4 linked regions of the Arabidopsis thaliana genome follow. The protein of the gene in region 4 interacts with the protein of the main gene of each other region in a pairwise test. Each region holds a gene or a part of one and is shown on either strand. Other genes may lie near its edges.

Region 1 (8,890 bases), on a different chromosome or scaffold from region 4:
CCTTTGTTTTCTTTTAGCAACATTAATTTGTTTCTTCTCATCTCTTATTCAATATGAACAAGATTTTAGGATTTTTTTTGTTTTTTTTTAATTGTTACGAAATGGAGGGTGATCAAAGATTTAAGTACAAATTATATACAACCTGTAGCATTCTCTTCATCATCTTCATCCTTCTGGTCAATTTCACAGTTGCATTTACATATTTTCCAACTATCATCTGAAGACCATATGGTGGTGGAGATTGCTCGTCTGTGGTGGATCAACTGGATTGCTAATGTGCGCTTTTTGCTTGTACTACGGGTATGCGTGGAACGACTAATCGGGGTAAATGCAAATCTTGTTCTTCTTTGGATACATGGTTTGCATTTCCTATGGTTTCTTACTCATGCTTGGAACCATTTGATTTGGTTCTTCTCTTCTCCATAAAATGTGAATAAGCAGTGATTATTATTTTTTAATTACCCTCCCACTACTCAATTTCTCAACAGATTTGATATGACTGATTTTTTTTTTTTCATTTATGTATGATTATTTTAAAATGTGTTTGTAAAGAAATGTTATGCTTATATATTATTATTACTATAGAAAGTTAGATGTTGCTTAATTTTGTGGTTTTTTGTCATGGTACCAAAACATTCTTGGTCCTCTAGCCTTGTTGTCTACTTTTTTGAACAAAGCATCAGAGAGTTTTCACGAAGAGAATTATCTTGAAAAAAAGAAAAAAGAGAGAATTATCTTTGATTATTGTTTGGGACTATATGTTGTAGTCAAAGTCTCATTTTGGTTAAGGCGACAGTTAGAGAAACCGATGGTGAAGCTACGGTTCAAAGAAACCGTAGTATACTATTTTTCCTTATTCTTGAGTTCACTAAACCTGAGGTATCAATTCCCAAAATTGACCATTAATAGCAGACTCCAATGTTAACAAACTTCAAGCATTTGAAAAGGACCATTAATCTACTAAAAAATGGCACCACAGTGACTGTTTTTGGTCATATTGGTCTTAATAAAATCCGAACAACAAAGATGAGTACTCCGTATGTTTTTCATATTGGTTCTAGTTCCAACCACATAAAACTTAGACTTCTTTAAGGAACTACACAAAAAAAACATACTTTTCCAATCCAGAACTACAATATTTTAAAATCGATCGGCAACCGCTTGGTGTTTAGATTTTGAGGTTTTTGTTAAATCTAGTCTAAAACGCGTTTTAAATTTAAAATTAAATTAAGCCAACTTCGTAACTAATGCCCAACCCGAAAGATAAACCCGAAGTGAATCTCAACACGATATCTAAACAATGACACGAAATCGAAATCCTTTGTTTGAAACAAAAGCTTTTCAGCTCGAAATTTAAACCCTGGCCTGAAAGCTTGGGTATTGAGAAACATGAAAGTATAATTTTGGTTGGTTATCTATTATAGTATTATTATTAGTTAAGTAAATAGTCTTATTTATCGATTACTAATGTTTTAGCAATAGTAGTATGACCTGGCCACACACAAAAAAACGCACGATGGGTGTTTTTCTTCTTCTAACTAGTCAACGGTATTAAGTATTAACTTGATGCTGTGAGCCTGCGAGCACGAATCCATATATAAATATATATATATATATATATATATATAATTAAAAGTCCAGAAGAGTTAATGTAAGGAAGCTACGTTCCAACTACTTCATTTACTTTTTTTTTTTTCTTAAAACTACTTCATTATCTAATTAGCTCATGAAGAAAATTATTGAAAATGGTCATCATTAATTGTCATTAAAGTCGTGTTCACATTCTCATTTCCTTTCGCAACACAAAGGGTATGATTACCTTGTTGGATAACCTCTTTAGCACAACTTTATATTTTTTTATTCAATATTTACCTCTGTTCAGTTGATGTATTACCGAGTAAAAAACTAAAAATAATATTTCTGCAGTTTATTCTTTCTTTTTTTTGCCAAAACTGTATTTATCATAAAATTAAGTCGAGGTTTACCAAGCTAATCTAGGCTTGTATTATCATGGCGAAATATGGCAACAATGACTTATTCTATTTTCATAAAGTAACAATTAGGATGAGTTGTACTATTTTCATGTTTTAATAAAAAAAACCAGAAAAACTTTTATAAATTAATAAAATCTGGATTTATATATTTTATTAATTTGTAGAAAAATTTGTCTAATTTCTTAGTTTAAAATAAAATTTCTAATTAAAATAAGTTTTTTTTTGTTGTAAATATTAATTTTCTACAATTAAGTACAAGTGAGAAAGCAAGTATCGTGTGTAGAAGACAACACCAACAAATTTTAATGAAGTAAAAATATTATAGACGAATTCTAACAAAAATTATTGCGAGTTCTAGATGTTTTACTGTATTAATACTTGGAGATCATTGTTATTAACAGAGTGGGACCATTAAAAATTTGAGGCCCATACGAATTATTAAGTATTCCGTATTATATATTTTTATAACTACAAGTTGTACTATTTTTATATTTTTATTCATTGACTTATAGGTTCGCTCTCTGTCAAAAATTTTTATCAATACTAAAAGACACATCTTCCTGCTTTTAAAGAAATCTCTCTTTTTATAACTACAAGTTGTACCATGTTATTCATTGACTTATATATGATCATCTACTTCGAACAAATTTTCATAATACTGAAATACCCCCTCTCTGTCAAATTTTCTAAACAAGAAAAATCGTTAAAGGGTTTAAAAGAGACGGATCTTCTTCCCATAGCTCATCCATATTACCAGTAAGCTTTCTTCCTTATAGTTATGTCTTTAATTGATATATATATATATATATATATATATATATATATATATATATTTATATATATATATATATATATATATATTTATATATATATATATATTTATCTATAAGCATGCATGATGTGAACAAAGATAATAATTGAAACCAATTTTCAAATAGAACCCATCTCGGTTTAGAAATAGATCTAAGAATATATTATACTCGAGTCTTCAACTTTTTATTTGTTTGTGCAAAACAGAAAAAAGTCCTTGGACTAATCCAAGATGGAAGTTCATATAGATTTGGATGAAAAAGTTCAGGAACCCTGCATTTATAGAGTACCAAATCGGATGCGAGTAGTGAAACCTGAAGCCTATACACCCAAGGTGGTCGTCATTGGCCCACTTCATCGTTCTCTCAAATCAACTGCTAAGGACGGCGCTGAAACAAGTAGCAATCCATGGTACGTCAAACACATTACACACACAGACGAATATATATGACGATAAATATATGTACAATATCGTCAATATTTTCTTGATTTCCTTTTTTTTTTGGGCAAATGCTTATATTTTCTTGATAATATATTAAAATAATATTAAAATGTAAAAGAACTCAAAAATTTATCAACAAATACAGCTATCATCTCAATTACGATTTGACCTAATATTTGAATTTGATCCGATCCAATTCAAAAACAGGTTAGTAAAAAAAAAAAAAACAGGTTAGGACTCAGATTTTCGGGAATCTAGATCCGGATAAGTTGGATCCATTTTGATATATATATTTTTTTTAATATATGTATTAGATATATCTAAATATTATATGTCGAAAAAAAAAATCTGTATATTATATAATAAACTGATGAGTACCTGAAAATATCACAAAAAATAAACTTCATTTTAAAAACTTGGAGTATCTTTAATAATGTTCATGAAAAATATGTTAGAAAATGTTCTCAAATGTTTATGAAATCAATCAGATTATATTCTATTTAATACTTTGTTTCGCTATTTTCTTCGGATTCAGATCAAATTCGGGGAATTAGCATATTCAGATCTGAGAAGCTGTTTCTGAGATCTGGAAAATCCAGATCTATTAAATTATAAAGCATACATACTTCCTAGAATTTTGCTCAAAAAAAAAAAAAAGGACTTCCTCGAATTATATATTTTGGTTATTTCTGTTTCTGTTTTTGTTTTCCTAAGGAATATTCCAAAGGATATCACATATTTTTCTTTACAACAAATACCATAAAATTCGTAACAAAGTAAATACCATAATATTTTATAAACTGTTAGAAAATATTTTTGTGTCATTTATATATAGGAAATCTTCTAAATTTCTTAGAAAAAACTTTGTCACTAAATATTATGGTATTCATAATACTTCTTTTCGCATTTTTTGGATATTCTTTTTTAAAAATGTTAATTATTGAAGTCTTTCTTTTTTAAAACAAAGTTTAGAAGAAGTTTAGCTTCAGAATCCGCCAATATTTTTTTCAGAAGTTTTCAAACGGAAGTTAATGGAGACAAGTGTTGAATATTTGAAACTACAATATGCATGTCTTTCGTTTTATCCTTAATTACTACAATCATGTTGAGATGGCCTAATAACCTGAACGCGAATCACACCTACTCTTAGAAACCTCATTTCAATTTAAATGGATGGAATATACATATAACAAATCGTTACCGGTGTCTGTTGATTCCATTCATTCTAAATTACGTTAGTAATAAAATGATTCTCATGCATACTTCAAATCTCCTTCACAATTCGTTTCAAATTAAATGTTTTTTCTTTCTTTTGCTTGACAAAAAAAACTATTTGATTTGAAACCGGTTAAGCAGAATTCGGAATAAAGGAGATTTGAAGTATGCACGAAGCTTTCAAGTTTGGTTTGAATTAAGGCAACAAGGATAAACTCTTAACTCAGTTTTCTCAATTATGCTTTAAAACATTATGCACTAAGTTTCCTTTTAACCGGGAAATAACCTTTTATCAGTTGAAATTGTGTCATAATTTAAACCACCAGAAAAATTAGTGAGTAGCCGACTCAACGGATATACTCAGTTACTCACTCGGAGGGTAGAAACCCAGATCACCCTTTGGTTATAAAACTAAAATAAATAAATATGAACATAAAACCCTATCGACAACCCATTGATAAAAATAATTTGATCAAAAAATAAATAAAGCAAATTCAAATATTGAAAACTATATCAAATTATCGGTCATATTATTCATTGTTAATTATTTTTTAGATAAAAACACCAAGTTTCACAACTTGTTCCTAATTTTGGTTTAGTGGCGTACTGGAATATGATCATTTATATAATTAAAGTTTAATATGTCGATTTATTTTTACCAGGCATCTTAAAAAAGATTATATCAAGATGGAAGTCACAAAGAAGACGTACTTCGAATCTTTCACCAAAAGAGTCGGGGAAGATACTATTGAGGAAATGAGGAAAACCATACAAACCGAAGAAAAAAATATTCGGAATTGCTATGAAGAATCAACTGAATGGATACCATCTGAATTATTCGTAGACCTTATCCTTCAGGATTCGATTTTCATTATGGAGTTAATTATCAGACTTTCTGGATTTGATCGAATACATTCAGATGACAGAAATTTAGACTTTGCAATCGTTATGAATGATTTACTCTTGCTCGAGAATCAGCTTCCCTATTTCATTTTGGATAGCTTGTTCAGTTTCAGTATGACGAAGTATTTGGATTCACACACCCTTGACAGTTTCATCTTGCGCTGTTTTGGCCTAAAGATCGAAGAGAAGAAAAACTTCATGCATTTGACAGACATGTACCGGTGTGTTTATAAAGAATCGCTTGACTACATTCCTCCACGAGAGTACTCACTGAATCGCGTTAAATGGTCTATCACAGAGTTGCGGAACGCTGAAAACCTATCAAATGCAGGAGTTAATTTCAAGGTAAATGATCTTCGATTACGGCTATATCTTCGTTTCTGATAAGCCTTTGGTTCGTTTTTGCTTGGAGTTAAAAATCCTTGCTATTTGAGCTTTTCACTGTCATACACATATTTATTTAGTTTAGAAATATCCTAGGTTTATTTAACAAAACAAAAAAAAGCCTAGGTCTAACAAAACGACTTTGCCCTGATTGTTTCCTCATTTGGCATTTTCATCCAATGATCCACCTAAATTATCCATTTGGATGATCTATTTGAATGATGTTTGTTTAATCTTTTGGTAGTTCATCTAAATAATGCATTTAAATAGATTTTTGTTTGCTTGATCATTTTATATTTCATCTATATACTTATCTAAATAAAAATGGCTAAAATATTCATGCTTTCATTTTAACAATTATCCAACATCATTACCAAATATCAATACCAAACATATCATATTTTGCTGTTTTGGCAAGAAAAAATAATTTTGGCGGGAAAAAAGGTTTTGCAGTTTTGGTGGGGAAAAAAATAATTTTTTGGTTTTGGCGGGAAATATAATTTTATGGATTTTGCCGGAAAATATGTTTTTGCGGTGTTGACGAAAAAACAATTTAGTGGCTTTGGCGAAAAATATGATTGTGCGATTTTGGCGTGAAACCATGATTTAGAGAAAAATTGATTTTACGGTTTGACGGAAAAAATAATTTTATGGTTTTGGCAGAAAAAATGATTTTACAGTTTTGGCGGGAAAAATGATTTTTCTTTTTTGGCGGGGAAAAATAATTTTATGATTTTGACAGAAATTAATAAACAGTGATTTCACGATTTTAGAGTCTTTTTGGATGCAAATATGTGATTTGAAAATATTAAATAAGAAATCTATAGAAAATTGATATTATTTAATATATGAGTGTAAAAAAGGGTATATTTATCATTTATTATTTTTGAATGAATTATCTCCATCCAAATGGTCCAAATAAGTTCATCCAAATGAGTTTGATATTCAGATAATTCATCCAACTAATTCATTCAAATGCTCTGTTAAATTATAAAAAAACAAACATCATTTTTCATCTCCATCTATATGAATTTTATGTGTCTAATTGTTTATTTTATCTTTGGATTATAGATTGTTATTAAACTAGCTTTGAAATATGTATATATATTTTTGGTATGAAGCTTTGAAATAGTTTTGACAAGAACGTTTCTTCTTTTCAGTCATACGATTATTTAGATCTCTCAAAACAAGACGAGAAACTTGACATAAAGATTACGCGAGACAAGTCTGACTCTGAACTTACGAAATTACCAACAAATAAAAGGTAAATAGCATCATTTAAAAAAGTGTGACAATAGAAATTAGATTTGGATAGATCATAGTTTTTTAGATTTTACACACGTATAAAGGTAGTTTGTATATAATTTTTACAAAATTACACACATTTGAATAAATTTCATATTTTAAGGGTATTTTTGATTAAAAAAAGTTATAGAGAAAATACATTTTTGAAATTTTATCGCAATCTTAGTATTAGAATTCCTAATGGTTGAAAAAAGTTGTGGGTTGTCATGTAAACACTAAAATTTTAAAATATAAGATCAGTATTCATGTGGAATTCTAAATTAATACTTCAATTAAAAATACTATATGGCTTCGAATGGTGACGAAACCACACAGTACGATGCAGTTTCAATAGAACAAAAAATATTTACATTATATAAATGTATATATTTTGTTACTATTTAACTCGCTCCATACCTTATCCGCACTTGAATCGTACATCTCCACTCGAAACATATATACATTGGGACTTAGGAAAAAGATTTTAAAAACCTTTAAAGTGAAAACAGATATCAACCGAAAAGTCATAATAAGTTGAGACAACTCTAAAAGAAATTTGTTTCCTAATAATATATGAAGATATATTTTACAAACAATATGATTAAACAACATAACCCTCATAAACATTTATTAAGATTCATATTATAAAATAATATATTATGGTGAACCATGCGATCATTAGTAAAAAAATTATTAAACGAAAGTTTATAATGAGTATACAAAAAATTTCAGTTTCTTAAAAAAATTATAAATATATTCAACAAAATATTATGAAAAAGATGCAACATTTTCTATTTTGTTATGTTAAAGAGAGATAATCCTCGGATGAAAAAGAATCATAATTAACCTAAACTAACTGTTATTTAGGAAATTCAAGATAATGATATAGATAGCAAAGTATATACATGAATACTACAGAGCTAAAGAATGCAGACAGATATTTTGAGTTTACAAAACTAATACTACAAATAATATATATTTGAATAAATGATCAATATAGTTATATATATACTATGTAATATGACCAAAAAAAGAATATACTAAATAAAAAAGATGCGATCAAATATTTTGGATGTATGAAACGTAGAGCTAATTTTGTTATTTGATTTATGTTATGTAACTAGGAACATATGTATTTATACTTATCCTCCATATGTTGGCAATGAAACAGATTTTTACACTTTTACATAAATAAGAGAAACTGGGCCAAAAGACAAAACATATATAAATGATTAAACTTTTTGCATCCCTATTTTCATAGTCACATGTATATATATAAGATGGAAACGTATTTGTTGTGCCTCCTCCTACAGAGAGAGGGTTGAAGGTGTTTCATTGCATGTGGAGTTAAAGAAAGGTTGCTTATCGATGCCGAGTTTCTGGGCTAATGATAGGACAGATATGATTCTAAGAAATGTAATTGCATTTGAGCAGTGCCAGCATGGCATAATACCCTTTACCTCGCACTACATACAATTCTTAAATGCCCTGATAGTTTCCGACAGAGACGTCGAGCTACTCAGCGAAAAAGGTACAAACATCACTAAATCAATACATTTAACTATTAATTAACATATATGAATGAAAAATATGCATGTGTTGCTGGAACATAGGGGTGGTAATGAACAATATGGGTCGGCCAAGCTTGGTGGTGGACATGGTGAACAAGTTAAAGGTTGGTGTGTACGAAGGATACACCTCCCAATACTATGACATAGCCATAGATCTCAAAGCTCACTATAAATCTCGAAGAAAGAGGTGTTGGGCCACCCTCAGAAAAGTTTACTTCAGCGACTTGTGGACCGGCACAGCTACTTTAGCCGCCGTGCTTCTCTTGCTTTTGACTCTGGTTGGGACG
Region 2 (5,867 bases), on a different chromosome or scaffold from region 4:
AAGAAGATCGACTTACTCCTAAATTCTAATGAGTATAACATTAAAAATGTAATCGAGTGAGTATTACTTTAGATATGAACAATACTATCATTTATTTAGCATTCTATATATATATGAACAGTGTAATCTTTCGTCGCTAAATTTACTGGAGCTATATACAAAGATTGTTATTGGAGATTTCCAGATTGAAGCTCAATATAGCTTGTGGCATTTTTAAGTTAAACCGTGATGGATTATACAAAACCAGAAAGGTGTAAGAAAAGCGATGAAGATATTTATTATAGTGTAAACATGTTGTATTAAACAAATAAGTAACAATTGAATCCAGAGAAAAAAGTAGAAAAATAGAAAATTTATAAAAAGAGAGAAAGCTCCTTTGAAAAGGGACGGCCAATGACTATTGTCAAAATGCTGACGACTTAAAACATGGTCGTGGAATAAAGTTGGAACCGTCCATATCAATTTATATGCTTCCTCCTAATAAATAAACTTTAGTTTTGTTTTGATAATTTTTAACTTCTTCTTTCTCTCCCGTTAGAAAAATGGAGCATTCCTCTTTTACATCAATTGGTGAATTAATGAGTATCCACCACACATATGACATATACACATATTCATACATGTAAGATGTGTCATGTATGCATGTATGAGTAGTGTCATGTGTGTGCACGTACGAAGCCATACCACATATACATGCAGATATAATGCATGCATGTGTAAGAGCAGACAATATATTAAAATATCGAATGTTGACGGTGAGATGGAAAAGGAAGGTATCGTATGTCTAAGGTTTATGGATTCCACGTCCAAAAGATAAAAGGTAAAAGATAAAAGAGCCTTCACCTTCGGTGTGACCAATCAATAAATTTCTATATAAAATATATGATATCATCTTTCTTTTTTTCTGTTTCTGTTAAACGATATCTGATGATAACATTATATATCATGTACTTTAAAGTAATATTTGGAGCGTTGAAAATGACAATATTTTCTGCTTAGTAATAATTATTATTATATTCTATGCTTCTCGTAAAAGTAGTACTATATGGGGTCTTCTTTATATCTAGAGTAATTTCTTTAGCTTTCTGAAATATGATTCATATGTAGTACATAATGTGAAATCAAACATTTTAAATGAAATTATGCAATGAATGTGGTTACTAAAATGCCTCAAATGAAATTGTATCCTTTGGATTTAAACAATAAACACGATCGTTCTTATATGATTCATGAATCATTATTGTATACGAATCATTATTGTATACCTTATCAGTTGATGATTAATTTTAGTCACTTTTTATTTAGACAACGAAAGTAATTAACACGTTAGTAAGACAAATACAAATAAAGTTCTATAATATGAATCGTCAGTTTTTTATACATAGGATTCGCTTTGCAGTACTGCATTCCCTTCTCAATTTTTCTGAGTGTTTTTTTCCCCTTTTAAAGAATCATCTGAGACACTTTCGAGAATAATTTAATTCTTCTCGTTGAAAAATTGGACCGCATTAGTGGACTCTCTATTTACACTTAGAAGCTCTCTCAATTTGTTTTTGCTTCTAGTACGATCTTCTAATTAGCATGTGAATGGCCAACAAATAAACGCATGTCCAATACATCAACCGTTGCTTTCCCTTCTTTAAAGCCTGTTTAAATTAAAATATCATAATAAGCAATAATTAAGACCGCAAATTTTTAATTAACTAATATGTATCTAAAAATCAGATGGTGAGGATAATCATAAATATCATGTACTAATCATATCGCTCCAAAAAAAATGTATACTTTATCGCTATTAATCAAGAAATATGTTAAAATAAATATGTTTGGTAAGAATATGTTCTAGAAAAGCCGAACTTTTCAAGTATAAAACGTCACAATTAGAAGAAAGAAACGTCACAATTCTCTTCTTTTTTAGACAACAGGTCAGAATTTGTTTTAAAAATGTTTCTCAATCAAAGCTTTTTTCAAGGGATTTAATGTGCTATATAAAGATTAAAAAGAAAGAAATATGGAAGTAAGAGATCTAGTAGAAACAGAGCAAGTAAAGTTAAATGTTGATACATACCGTGGAGGCAGAGGAAGTGAGGGAAATAATAGAAGTTGAAGAAGTAGTTGATGTTGATGTTAATGATGACGACGATAATAAACCTACATTGTAAGTCATGGTCTCATCAGGCTGATACAATCCATAATTCCTCTCAGAGGTTGGTCCTGGTTTAAGGTCTTCATTGAAAAGAGCAAATAGATAAACATCAAAACTCAAGTTTGGTCTCAATGGCGTTCCTTCATTTTGAAGTTGTCTCCTTAGAATATTTTTGTTATAAACGGCTGCGTTGGCCACAGTGGCTCCAACCTCATCTCCATCGCCTTTAGACGGCCATCCAGTCTCCGAGACCCCAACTTCGATGTCTTTGAAGCCAAGCCTCGCCATGGCAAAGATCACAGCGTCTACTTGAGCGTAGAGCATGTTGTCATAGCGGTACTTGGTATAGGGGTCAACCATTCCAGGGTTAGGGTTGAAGAGGACGTAGTCTAATGGGATCTTTGTTGGGGAATCCTTGTAAGCGAAGTAAGGGTAAGCGTTGATCCAGAAGGGGGAATTCGTGTTACGCAAGAAACCTAGTAGCTGTGTCATTACGCCAGCTACTTCCGGCCTAAAACATCCGGCGGATGGAGGGTAAGATTCTTGAAGGACGGATAGTGAGTTCGGAGTCGATACTTGAATGTACTTGTCTAGTCCGGTTTGGACCAAAGCCCCATGAATGCTCATCATTGCAGGCATAAGATACCTGCGAATCATAGCAATAACGAGGTTGAATACTTTCTTCTTTTTTTGAACTAGAGGATCTCAGGATGATACCCACATGACTACCATGATTTGGTTAGTAGGGCATATTTGTAATGGACCAAGATTTGAAAAGGATAACAATTTATAGGAATGAGGGGATGTATGTAACAAACCCTATAAGGCTTGAGTCATCGTCAGTGTATAGTTCGTTGCCGACGGCGATACCACCGATCTTGGTGGCCGGAAAGTAGGGTTTGATACGGGTAGTGACCCATTGGAGAGCTTGTTGAGGGTCTACTAAGCTGGGAAGCATTTCATTTTCGACGGTGACAAAGAGCTCGATATTGGAATTGGCAAATGAGGTTAACACTCGAGGGTTTGTGTCATAGATTCTTGTCTTATTGATATGGAGTGAACTCAAGAGTTGTAGAACTTTGTCCGGTGGAGGAAGATTGTCGCCGACTTGACCATAGTTGATGCCAAGAGAGGAGACCCTTTGAAACAACAATCCATGTTCTGTGAAAAAAATGTAAGAGAAATTTAAATAATTAAAGTGTAATGACAAACTGAAATTGAGATAATGAATTTTGTTTGTTGGTAGACAGAAATAAGCAATTATTCAAAAACGATACCTAAGAAAGTCAAGGAAAATAGAAGAAGAACGATAGAGTTGGTCATGGCAATTCTGCTAAACATGTTAGACATGGAGAAGAGAGAAAGAGGGAGATAAAGACTGAGGGAGAAAGTGCTTGTAAGAGAATCAATGCAATGAAATGTGGGGATAGATATAGAGATGAAGAATTGAGAAATGGGACCAAGTAGGCGACGAATAATTATTAATTTATAATTTAGAGATAATACTTTACTTTGCCTGCCTTTGTTTTATGGTGAGACATAGGGTTTCTACAATAAAAGTGACAATATGATTAATTCCAAAAATAATTCAATAAGTTATTTAAATTTATACTCGTTAGTTTTGTAATGGGAGTAGGTTTGGCAATAGGTTTATCTTATGGAAGTCTATTGTAAAAATAGATAGTGTTTGCCAAAAACATTCTTTGTGAGGCAACATGGGTTTCATAAAACATTTTGGACCCAAGAAGAAAAAAATATGACATCTTAGATTGTCTCTTTCCAACACATTGCCAACTATGTCAGTCCAAAAAAAAAAAAAAATGAAAAAGTGGCCTAAAAGAAGACACTTTCTTCAGACAAAGGCAAAGGTGGGAAAAATTGAATTGCCCACTATAATAGGTTTTTAATCTTAACAATATGTCTATTAAACACAAAGAAAAAAAAAACATTATGTCTTTGGCATAGAATTTGGAGGATCCCAAATTTGGTAGTTGGGTGAACCAAAAAAATGGAACGTAAAGAGTAGAAATCACACCATCATAATGATAAGAAGGATAGTGCGCTTATCTTCAGTTTATTATATTTATATAGTATTGCAATTTGCATCTTGTGAAATAAAAGCTCTTTTAAAAAACATTGTAACGATTGTTAGAATTGTATTTCACGTGAAATTATAGTATGACCCTCAGTTAATCCTATATTTGATATTCAACGGAGTTTAGTCGCATATTTAAAACTGATCCTACGTTTCAATTCAGAATTTATATACCGTTAGCTTACATGTAAAAGTAAATATTTCTAAATTCAACCTAACTCATCTAGTCAACCCGCTCGATCACAAAAAAAATTAGGTTGCACAACGGTTCATTATTTATGTTTTAGATGAAATAAAATAAATTAATTACTCGATTAATCAATCAATGGAAAAAAACGGTTTTAAACAAGTTTACAAAAAGAAAAGTTAATCAAAGTTGATATGTAAATTTACAGCCTAATTGGCCCTAGCCAATAATTTAGTTGTCTGAAACAATTTTTTTTTTCTTTCAGTTTGATATTAAAACAATAAAAGCTCTAACTATACACCAGGTGATAATTGTAATTCAACTTCATTTTGTACAGATTTTTGGAAGTTTGGGTTGTTACTTTTCTTATAGAACGGACTTCTTACTACAGTATAACCTCTATAAATTAATAACCTTTATAAATTAATAAATTCTTCCGGTCCCGAGTTGGGACTAGTGTAAAAAATGACACAAATCGATAAATTAATAAGATAATAATTTTTTGGAAAGTTCTATGTAAATATATGGTCTCATCGATATCATAAATTAATAATTGTATAAATATATCAACTATATATATATATTATATGTAAAAAATTTCTTTAAAATATATTTATAATAATTTTTTGTTTAAATTCATATTTGTTATTTGTTTGATTATAGTTTTCATATTTTACTATACCAAAACTTTTGTTATTTGTTTAATAATGTTTTCTAGACATTATTATTATGTTTTATTTGTAACTGGTTCTAGAAATATATTTTTTATAATGAAAAAAATCTTATAAATTTTTTTAAAAAGTTACCAAATTAAGAAAATCTCTCTATAAATTAATAAATATTAATTTATCAATAAATTAATACCTCTCTAAATTAATAAAATTTTGCAGTCCCAAATAGAGGTTATACTGTATATCGGATATTGATTAATTTCTGAAAATTTCAAATATATTAAATGGAATAGAGATCTGAAAACATATGTAAAGTAGCCTGCTTTATGAAATGATGCAACAAAAGTGACCCAATTTTATTTTTTTCGTAACCAACCCAAGAATCTAGTAACTTTTTTGTTTTTGCTAAACAAGAATCTAGTAACTTTTGGAAGATGAATTTCACTATAACGATACTTGTTTATTTGTTACATCCTACATATATACATTAATATACAACATATGAATATGCCTGTGTATACTTACTTGTTTTGGAATAAGACAAATGAGCTGATGCATGTGGTGCGCTTTATGACATCTTAGATTCCTCCGATCTGATTCAACAATCTTAACTCGAGATTCTAATGTAATAAAGGTTATAAATTAAAATTAACATATATTGTTAAATCTCGTGTTTTAAAAAGAAAAATGTTGTTATATCTCGTGGCTAATCGAATATTTAGGCGTGAACTAAGCAATTTGTTAGCTGTGTCTGAAATTTTGGATCCC
Region 3 (4,567 bases), on a different chromosome or scaffold from region 4:
TGGACAAACTAACTCGTTGATTTTTCATATTTAATTCGATGACTTTTTAAGGAAATCGAAAATTACTGATTTTTTTGTGGCCATTACGAAGTTTTATTATAAGAGTGATTATATTATTATTGATATTATTTTAATAATATCATTTGTGATATGGTAAGTCAAAAATTGAATTTTTGTAGAAAATGAATTGGAATTATGTTTTGGGTCACATAAATATATGTAAAATTGAATTTGAATGAATAAAAAAAAAAAAAAAAAAAAACTAAATATAGCAAAATGGAATAATCAATATGTAAATGGGGAAAAAATCAACAATTGTATAGAAAATTTTGCCATTGGTGGTGGTGCTTCTCATTAGGTTCTTGCTTTTTGTGCTATCTTTTTAGGTGTTTCTCATACTAGAACATGCTTGATTAAGATAAAATCTTCACATTTCTGTTACTAATAGTGTTTCTCTTGTCGAACATTTACGACTTTTGGCTTGAGAAGGTCTTGTTTATATGTGGTTTAGCCTTTGTTTCTGTTTCTACAACTTGATAAATTGCGTTTTGAGTGTTGCCCAAAAATGGATGTGTATTGAGCTGCTTAATTAAGATCTTCTTCACATTTCTTGGTGGTAGTAGTGTTTTCAAGTGTTTCTTTGGTTAAACATTTGTGGCTTAGTTTCTATCTCGCTTAAGAAGATGGGAGAAGGAGATTAAATATCTGACATGACTTTATTCTTCTTTGAGTATTCAGGTGTCTAGGCAAAACTTTTAGTCCTATTAGTAGCAATTTGTTCTTTTTTTTCTTTTCCTATTTTTCTCTTCTATAAGTTCTTACCATATGAGTATACATTGTCTGCAGAGTTAGGTGCTAATATGAATGGATACCTTCTCATAAATGCTAATGGAGGACTAAACCAAATGAGATTGGGGGGTCAGGCTTTTGTGTTTTCTCAATGTTTCTCAAGTTATCTTCTGTTTATAACTTGATGACAGGCTAGTTCCTAACTTTATCAAGGACTTTGATTAATCTCACATCCCTAGTACTGAAAGTAACTTGTTAAGCACACACTGTATATTTCACTTACTTAAAGAAGATTTGGTAGTTAAACCGATTGCATCTTTGTTTTTGGACGAAGGGGGAAGAGAGTGATCAGAAATACATGACGATAGATGCTAACCGGAGTAACTCATCCAAAGCAGTCGACGAAAACTTGCGAGCAAAGAGAAAGCAAAGTCTCATCTTATTTTCTCCATTTTTCTTACAATCACCAACACTCTTCATCCTTAGCCACTCCAAGAACTCCACATTAACCTCCCACTCACCAAACAATCTCGGGTGAGCCCTACGCTTGCTCCAGTCAGTCCAAGTAAGCGTCCTATTCGCGTTACGCAACCCAAGGCTCGGCCTCATGTTGAGTAGCGTCGGGATATAGTGCTCGTCGGGGCAGCGAGAGTAAGCTTTAAAGATTGGCCAGTAGAACGTATCAGAGACTACCTCGAGGGCCATGGCTCGGTCTAGCTCGAACCACTGAGAGCCTTTTCGCCATTGGTGCATGCGGATGTGAGGATACATGCGGCGGTCATAGCGGACGCGACCGATTGTGAGGTCGTAGGAGTCGACGTGGGTTAGAGTGGAGTCGATGAGGAAAGAGTAAACTGTGGAGAAGTTGAAGAGAGGGATGCATGATTCGGAGAGAAGAATGAAACGTTCGTTGTTGATGTCTAATAAAGCGTTTGCTAATAACCTTCGTTCTGCTTCTACCATGTTTGCGTTTCCCCAATCCACTCTCTGCATACGTTTATAGTTAATGACATTGGATTGATTTTATTTTATGTATTATAGTGTAATAATTAATATGTTTTCTTTTAAGATACCAAATATTCTTATATTTTTATGTAATTTACTAAAAAAGATAGGAAAAATATCGTATTCATGTACTTCGATCCGTTATATATATATATATATATATATATATATTATTTATAATATATTTATAAATTTTATTTATCACGTTAATTCCAAACCTATTAATGTATCGAAATAAATTTCTTAATAATTTGGGAAGCTGACCTTGCTTGGAATACGGCGGCCATAAAACACAGAGTCTTGCGGCATGAACTCGTCGTAAGACGAATTGGTGTGAACGTAGATAGTGAAAAGACCTTCATGACCTCGAAAGAACCTTTCCCATAGAGGAGCCAAAGGTAAAGGTCCCCAAGTCAAGAACATGAAAGCAACCTTCGGGATTCTAGGATAAGGGTAATCCCTGATCTTAGGATCCATTGAAGCTCTCCACAGAAGTTCATTATCTTCCATATCGTGCATGATGTTCTTCAGTGGTATCAGAAACATGTCAAGCCCATTGTCCTGAAATGAAGGAGAAAGAATAGGAGGAGGAGGGGTTACAAAGAAGAGTTGGGAGACACTTTGGATGGTTAACGAAGAAGGCGAAGATAATCCTTGTAGAGAGGGATAAACAATGATTCCAACTATCACGCCGATCCAGAGGATGAAGAAATACAAAAGGAGATTGTGGAAATGGTGGAGTAGTTTCTTGAGAAGCTCTATCACTTGAGATAATGGTGAGTTTTGGTCCTTTTGGGTCGGCATTTCCAACTACCGATACATGTGTAAGAGAATTCTTGTTTCCAATGTTTTAAGGGTTAAAAAGAGATACATGGATCTTACTTCCTAGTTGGAATGAGGTTAAAAAGTGGAGAAGAGCAAGTAAAAGTGGAGATCTTGTGGCGTGAGTGATTAACTCGTAAAAACAAAAATACACACGCAATGGAATATAACATTTTGAGGCAGTTTTTTGATGATCCAAGCAAAGTCAATTGGGTTATATACGTAGCATCTTATTACTACTCTTTCACTAGCATTAATTCTTTAAACTAAAATTACAAATTTCCTTACATCAATATTAATTTACTTTTTTAAAAAGATTGATAGGAGTAGACTAACCAATCTTTGTCTTTGAATGAACTATTTCGCTATATGTCCATGCAATATATATTTTTTTAAGTTCGTTTTCCCAAAATCATATTTCTTTGTTATAAGTGGATATAATATTGATGGTGGTTTAAATGTTTTACTTGTAGTTTCGCTATATACTTTTTTTTATCTCTTGGTCGCATGTTTAAGTTTATTGCTTTTACTTATTAATATACCTTATACCTATATGATTTATCATTCTTTCGTTTTTGCTCATAAGTTTATTGCATACCTTGTCAATAATATACATTATTTTCTGGTAATCGTTCACAAGACATCCTTGAAACCTCCACGTTTACATTGCTTAACGCTTGCAACAATTTCATTGTATATATAAAAAAAAAGATCGTAATGAAAACAATATGAAGCTTATATATATATATATATATAGCACTACAAGTTAAACCTAATTTGTTTTTTTTTATAACTACCGGAGTGACTTTATCTACAAGAATGAAAATGACGCAGCCATAAAAGCAGGATCGTGTAGATTGCTATTAAAAACCTAAGTGAACAAAGATGTGAATTTCATTTACTCGATGTTTATAGTATGCAATAGACATGGTACCAACTCTTACAGATAATATATTCAACCGCGTAGACATTAAATCAAGAGGTAAACTGGAGAAACAATTACATACGTGGGAAATAATTTTTTTTATCGAACGGCGACCTACATGCTTTGTCTAATAGTCTTTACCAGTTGAGCTATTGAAATTGGTTTCGTATGTTTTCTCTTAGACGAAATATCTCTTTTTGTATTTTTTTATTTATTTATCAAATGAAAGTGACAAACATTATTTGCTTAAAGCTTTTGTTAGAAAATTAATCTCATGTAACTCAGATATAGGATTTTTTCATGGTTTATCTTTTACTTCTTACAAAACTGTAGATCCATGGATGCAAAAAAAAAAAAATGATCCATGAGACTATGTGAGTGAAAAGGATTTAACCTATGTAATTAAATTGAAGATTTTATATATTATGTATTTTCTACTTAAGTAATAGATTTTCGAGGGACAGTTATATCAGGCCATTCATACAAAGCCATTAGAGTATTCAAACATTAACTATATACACAGAATATAATTATAGTTGATATGAAACTAAGTTGAAGTCAACCTTGCGAATTCTAAACTGAAAGAATATTACTTTTTTGTTTGGTTCAAATAAAAGAAAATTACTTGTTGCACTATATAAATATTGATAAATAAATTGATTGGTCAAATTTACGTGTAGTTGCACATTGTTGAAAGCTGTAGGGTGAAGAGACAATAATTGTGCAAACAAGTGGCATCAACCCTGGGAATGTCATGACGTAGTGTAGGAAAAATGCATTCCATTCCATTTGGGTTACAGAACCGTCATGTTAGACGAGACTCATGCATGGTAATGATGGCTGAGTTAAAAACAACAACAAATATGTGATCATTTGGGTTCACTAGTGATACGAGAATATGCGTTTTCCATCACGGCTGCTTCCGAGAACTTTACAACAACATATATGTGATCATTTTGCTAGCTATGATACAAATTCTAGAGTGTAAAAAATAAACAAACAATAGTATCATGTATAGCTAACAAA
Region 4 (4,747 bases):
GATCATTGAATACCGGTTCCATTTCACAACCAAGAAGCATAGACATCAAGGCACCGACGAAGACTAAGATAAGTTCTGCCTCGAGGTAAACATGAATGGTAAAGAGAGCCAAGAAAGCGAACCGTGATAAACCGGAATCATAGTTGTTTCTATACACATGTAATAAGAAGGAAAAGATCAAAAGTTTGAAAGCAAGGACCCATTTAGACATAGGTTTGTTGTGGATTCGATTTGAAGAAGGGTTTTTATTGATTTTGATGGGGAAACAAGCGAAGCAGAAGAAACGGGTGAGATTTGAGGGAAGTGGGCTTAAAGGTTCTTGATCGAAAGCAAAGAGAAAGAGCTTGAAATTTGCGAGCCATGTGAAGAAGAAACCTGAGATGACGCAGAAGTGGACAGAAGAGAAGAAGAGAGGAAGAAGAAGAAAGATGATGAAGATGGGAAGAAGAGAGAGGAGACGAAGAACACCTTTGGAGATTTTTGATGAGATGTAGTAACAGTAAGATATGGAGATTAAGGCAGAGATCCAAACCTTGATTAGGTTTCTCAACTCTTCTTCCATCTTTTCTCTCTTGGTTCTGTTGGTTGCTAACTGTTTCATAATGATGCGACTTAAATAATGTTATCTACAACCAGAAGAACATGAATAATGCCAAAAACCATAACTGGTAATACGTTTCTAATTTGTCAAGTTTGCGTCATTTTTATTTTGGATCATTCAAAAACTATTTTTTTCAAAGAGGTAAAAGGATAGAACTTCAAAGTTAGAGGGTTTATTGTCTCATGTACTTTCATTTTTTTTATTTTTTAAACTTGTATTATTCAATTATTTAATGATTTGGAAATAACATATATGTATTTACCAGATTTTCAATTCGCAAGTAAAAGATAAATGAATCTTAGAAAAAACTCCATATTACATTTTCTTTTACATTATAAAATCAAGAAATCCAAATAGATTCGGAATGTTCGTATGACAAATCCAGACAAACGACGCGGCATGATTAAAGTAAGATTATAGATTTGGCAGAGTTTGTTTTATTTTAAAATTCTTCTAACAAATATTGCATTAATAATATACAAAGTAAGATGTTCATATTTCATCATTTGTTAGAACTTAGAAAACATTTACGCCATATTTATTGAATTTGTTGAGCTTGATTCAATTTAATAGCATGTCAAGAATGTTTCACACTAGACGACGTGTCTCACACTTCTATATACGTTTTCAAACAATGAAGAGAAACAAAGTTTGGTTGCTCTGCTACCGCTCTTTGCCTTTAATAAAGAATCATGAAGAAGTGAATAACTTGGCTAGGTCAAGAACCAATAAACATTCTCCAATCGCTTTCTCATGGACATTGTTTCTCAGCACTTGAGCGAGGAATAGCCAAACGCCCGTCACACTCACAAACGTCAGAACTACAAGACCAGAGACAGCCCGGTGCGGTGGCCTCAACCATTGTGTTCTCTTCACCGCTATCTCAGTGGCAGTGGCAGCACCATGCAACACAAAGAAACAAGTGACTTCCCAAGTTGGAGGCTTACGGATCATGTAAAAGTAGAGCAGCTCATGCATCAAGCCTGAGACAAAGAACGATGCCATGACCCCAGCAAACATAGCCCCGTCTGGACTGAGTATGCGTTTGAAAAAACGCTGAACCGGAATGTGAACGGTTGAGCGTAGGACGGCTGAAACCATGAGGTTCCATCTGCGGCTCCAGAAGTCTTGTAGGGAGGTAGCTAGGTAGGGCTCATTGAACACCGGCTCGATGTTACACCCAAGAAGAGTAGATACCACGGCTCCAACAAAGACCAAGACAAGTTCTACCTCAAGGTAAATATGGAGACAATAGAGAGCCAAGACAACAAACCGAGGCAAACCATCCCTGTATTCATAAACATGTAACAAGACGCCCAAGACCAAAATTTTAACAGCCAAAACCCATTTAGGCATAGGTTTAGGATGAAGATTTGGTATCGCATTTGGAGAAGGGTCTTGTCTGATTTTGATGGGTAAACAAGCGAAGCAGATGAAACGGGAGAGTTTTGGAGGAAGTGGGAACAAAGGTCCCTCATCAAAGGCAAATAGAAGAAGCTTAAAGTTTGCAAGCCATGAAAGAAAAAGAACTGAAATGGCGCAAAAGTGCACACAAGAGAGGAACAGAGGAAGAACAAGAAACAGAATGCAGACTGGAAGAATAGAGAGGAGACGAAGAACACCTTTGGAGAGTTTAGACGATATGTAATAACAGTAAGATAGAGAGATTAAAGCAGAGATCCATACCTCGATTAAGTTTCTAAACTTTTCTTCCATTTCTCAGATCTGTCGTTTGCTAATTCTGTGGAAGCAGCAGAGTTTGACGTGGTCCTGTATTAAAGAATTACCACAAAATATGACTCAAAAGTTTAAGACAATAGAAGCTGGCTTCTTTTTCTTTTATATTATTAAACAGCTAAAAGGCCCACTAGCTACACATGTGAGTGGCAGAGAAAAGTTATAGATTTCTTCTATTCTTCCTACACTTTCGTAGAGTGAGACACAAAAGATCAATCAAACTACTAATGTTGCAACTACAAGGATAATGAGTGCTGATCTAGTCATTAATCCAACCGCCAGATCGACTCATATAAGGGTAGTTCGGGTTCGGGCCAGGGGCAAAACCCCTTGGACTCATTTCGAAGTCACTAGGTGGTGGCGGTGGCAGTGGAAAGTCATGAGGATTTAAGAGATTATGTCCGCTAGGTTGCAATGGAGGCTGAGGTGGGAAAGAGCTCATCCTCTGGTAATTCATTTGATCGAAATGAGGCGCATAACGTTGTTGCAATGGGAATGCATTGTCCATCAGATTTGGAGGAGGAGGAGGAGCTAACATGGGGTCCAAGTGCCCACCGTACTGCTGTGGATATTCTCTTTGACCAATCCCTCTATCAAGGTCTGAATATCCTCGGAAATCAAACATCTCGTTAGGACCATTTCTCAATGGAAACTGATCCGGTAGGAAAGGAGGATCCGGCATTCTATAGCCTCCACCGAAACCACCATACTTAGCAGCAAGACCATCGTCGAAATGGGACAAACTTGCACCATAAGATGGTTCAAAAGCTTCAAACGGTTTCTGACCCGTATTTTCTGGCGATGGACGAACAGTGTAGATGTCCTCTCTAGAAGTTCTCACAGAGCTAGGCCTATCCCGACTCACTTCAGGTTTTCCAGTGCCCTGCACTTTACAACCATGTTCTCTAATATTCTTTCCCAAGTTACTTTTTGTCCTTGTTATTGCAGGCAGAGATGCTTCTACAGCCTCGTGAGATCTTTGAGGTGTTGTAGTGGAAATTGATGTGCAGACAGCATATATATCATCTGGGGAAGACCTAACAGGACTCTGCCAATCAGATGTCATTTCGGGAATTTTTACTTTGATGCTCTCTGGTGCTCTACTCAACTCTCCTTGATCCTCTTCCATGTCATTGCTCTTCCAATCCACATTATTAGAATCCATAGATTTCCCAAGCTTCCTACCAGAGTAGTCTTTGGTCTTTCCCTCCTTTTTCAGCTGACTTCTCCGTGACAAGTGATCTGACTGATGTACACGTGCTACAGTTTCTACTGTGTCGATTTTCTCAGAGACTAAGATTTTATTAACGCATTCAGCTACCTCAAGTTCATCCTTTTCCATAGGAATATCATCACACATGCCATCAGAAGCTCCAAGTGGATGCAAAGATGCGTTTGCTTCTTCTTCCACTATCTTTAACTTTGAGCTCCCCACATCCCTAGACAAATGGCAATGCTTCTCCGCTATTTTCTTGTGCTTGGCTGCAAAGTCGGACCGACTCCAGAGAGAAAGTGGCGGAGGAACAAGGTTCCAGTCTTCCAATTGCTTGTCTTCTTCATTGACAGAACCAGGCAGGTAAAATGACTGAAAGGAATAGGCAAGAAGCATAACATGTAACTGAAACTCAATAAAGGCTCAATCTCTCAAAAAGCAAAATCAAAAGAAAAGCGAAAGATTTACATTTCCAGATAGGAACGTCTTATCCTCCCATATAAGCACATATGATGACTTCTTTTTATCTAACCTGTTGAGAAAAGTGATAGATTTAACAAGAGAGAGAGAGAGGAGTCGATATATTAGTGTTATGGAATGGTACAGAGGAGCAGATGAGATAGATGGAAACTGAAACCTTTCAGTCTCGGGAGGAACAATGAGAATGAGAATCTTTGGGCGGAACTCAAGAGCCTTGGTAATAAACTTGTTTGCAAGAGAAGCATTGACTCCAAATGGTGGATTTAGCCCCATAATCTACTCATAATTCCAAAAATATAAACAGTCAGATACTACTCAAACTATTTCAATGACACTGGAGCTTACACAAAGTTCATACTAAAGGAAATTTGTGTCTTACCAGCTTTGAACCTGGTTCCAACTCATCTTTACTTACAGTCATCCAATCCTTTCTCTCAAAATTGAAATTATTCTGAAAGTAAGATAGCTAATCAATGAGTAATCCTAGAAGACTGATGAATAGAACACACCACGATCTAACATATGTTGCTTCCGTATCAGTGATAAGACTTTACAACTTACGACAATAGTAGGCACACACACACAAGTCATTACCTTCGCTGGAAAAAGATCGTAATTTTTATATAAGCACTTCTTCCCCGTTTCTTCAAGCTTCGCGTTCATCAGACAGCTAAAGTCATTAGAACCACAACAGAAGTCGACAATCTGTTGGAAGA

The links.
Region 1: the proteins of AT5G55380 (region 4) and AT1G65985 interact in a protein complementation assay, tested with the Arabidopsis thaliana proteins (one large-scale study listed by BioGRID).
Region 2: the proteins of AT5G55380 (region 4) and AT1G30080 interact in a protein complementation assay, tested with the Arabidopsis thaliana proteins (one large-scale study listed by BioGRID).
Region 3: the proteins of AT5G55380 (region 4) and AT1G68380 interact in a protein complementation assay, tested with the Arabidopsis thaliana proteins (one large-scale study listed by BioGRID).

What each region holds. Positions count from the first base shown.
Region 1 is NC_003070.9:24,562,617-24,571,506, reverse strand, and holds the start of AT1G65985 (transmembrane protein, putative (DUF247)), read left to right. Parts: upstream 1-2,540; 5' UTR 2,541-2,750; intron 2,751-2,887; exon of another isoform or gene 2,888-3,011; 5' UTR 3,012-3,036; coding exon 3,037-3,215; intron 3,216-5,123; coding exon 5,124-5,709; intron 5,710-6,908; coding exon 6,909-7,012; intron 7,013-8,345; coding exon 8,346-8,563; intron 8,564-8,645; coding exon 8,646-8,890.
Region 2 is NC_003070.9:10,549,672-10,555,538, forward strand, and holds AT1G30080 (Glycosyl hydrolase superfamily protein), read right to left. Parts: upstream 3,625-5,867; 5' UTR 3,497-3,624; coding exon 3,424-3,496; intron 3,308-3,423; coding exon 2,965-3,307; intron 2,793-2,964; coding exon 2,069-2,792; coding exon of another isoform or gene 2,051-2,068; exon of another isoform or gene 1,647-2,050; coding exon 1,560-1,646; 3' UTR 1,184-1,559; downstream 1-1,183.
Region 3 is NC_003070.9:25,634,796-25,639,362, forward strand, and holds AT1G68380 (Core-2/I-branching beta-1,6-N-acetylglucosaminyltransferase family protein), read right to left. Parts: upstream 2,668-4,567; 5' UTR 2,599-2,667; coding exon 2,059-2,598; intron 1,777-2,058; coding exon 1,138-1,776; 3' UTR 1,043-1,137; downstream 1-1,042.
Region 4 is NC_003076.8:22,445,555-22,450,301, forward strand, and holds AT5G55380 (MBOAT (membrane bound O-acyl transferase) family protein), read right to left. Parts: upstream 2,400-4,747; 5' UTR 2,318-2,399; coding exon 1,292-2,317; 3' UTR 1,070-1,291; downstream 1-1,069. Other genes in the region: AT5G55370 (MBOAT (membrane bound O-acyl transferase) family protein), read right to left, coding at 1-562; EDM2 (ENHANCED DOWNY MILDEW 2), read right to left, coding at 2,598-3,923, 4,020-4,083, 4,189-4,307, 4,411-4,482, 4,626-4,736. UniProt on the Arabidopsis thaliana protein: Catalyzes the final step in the synthesis of long-chain linear esters (waxes).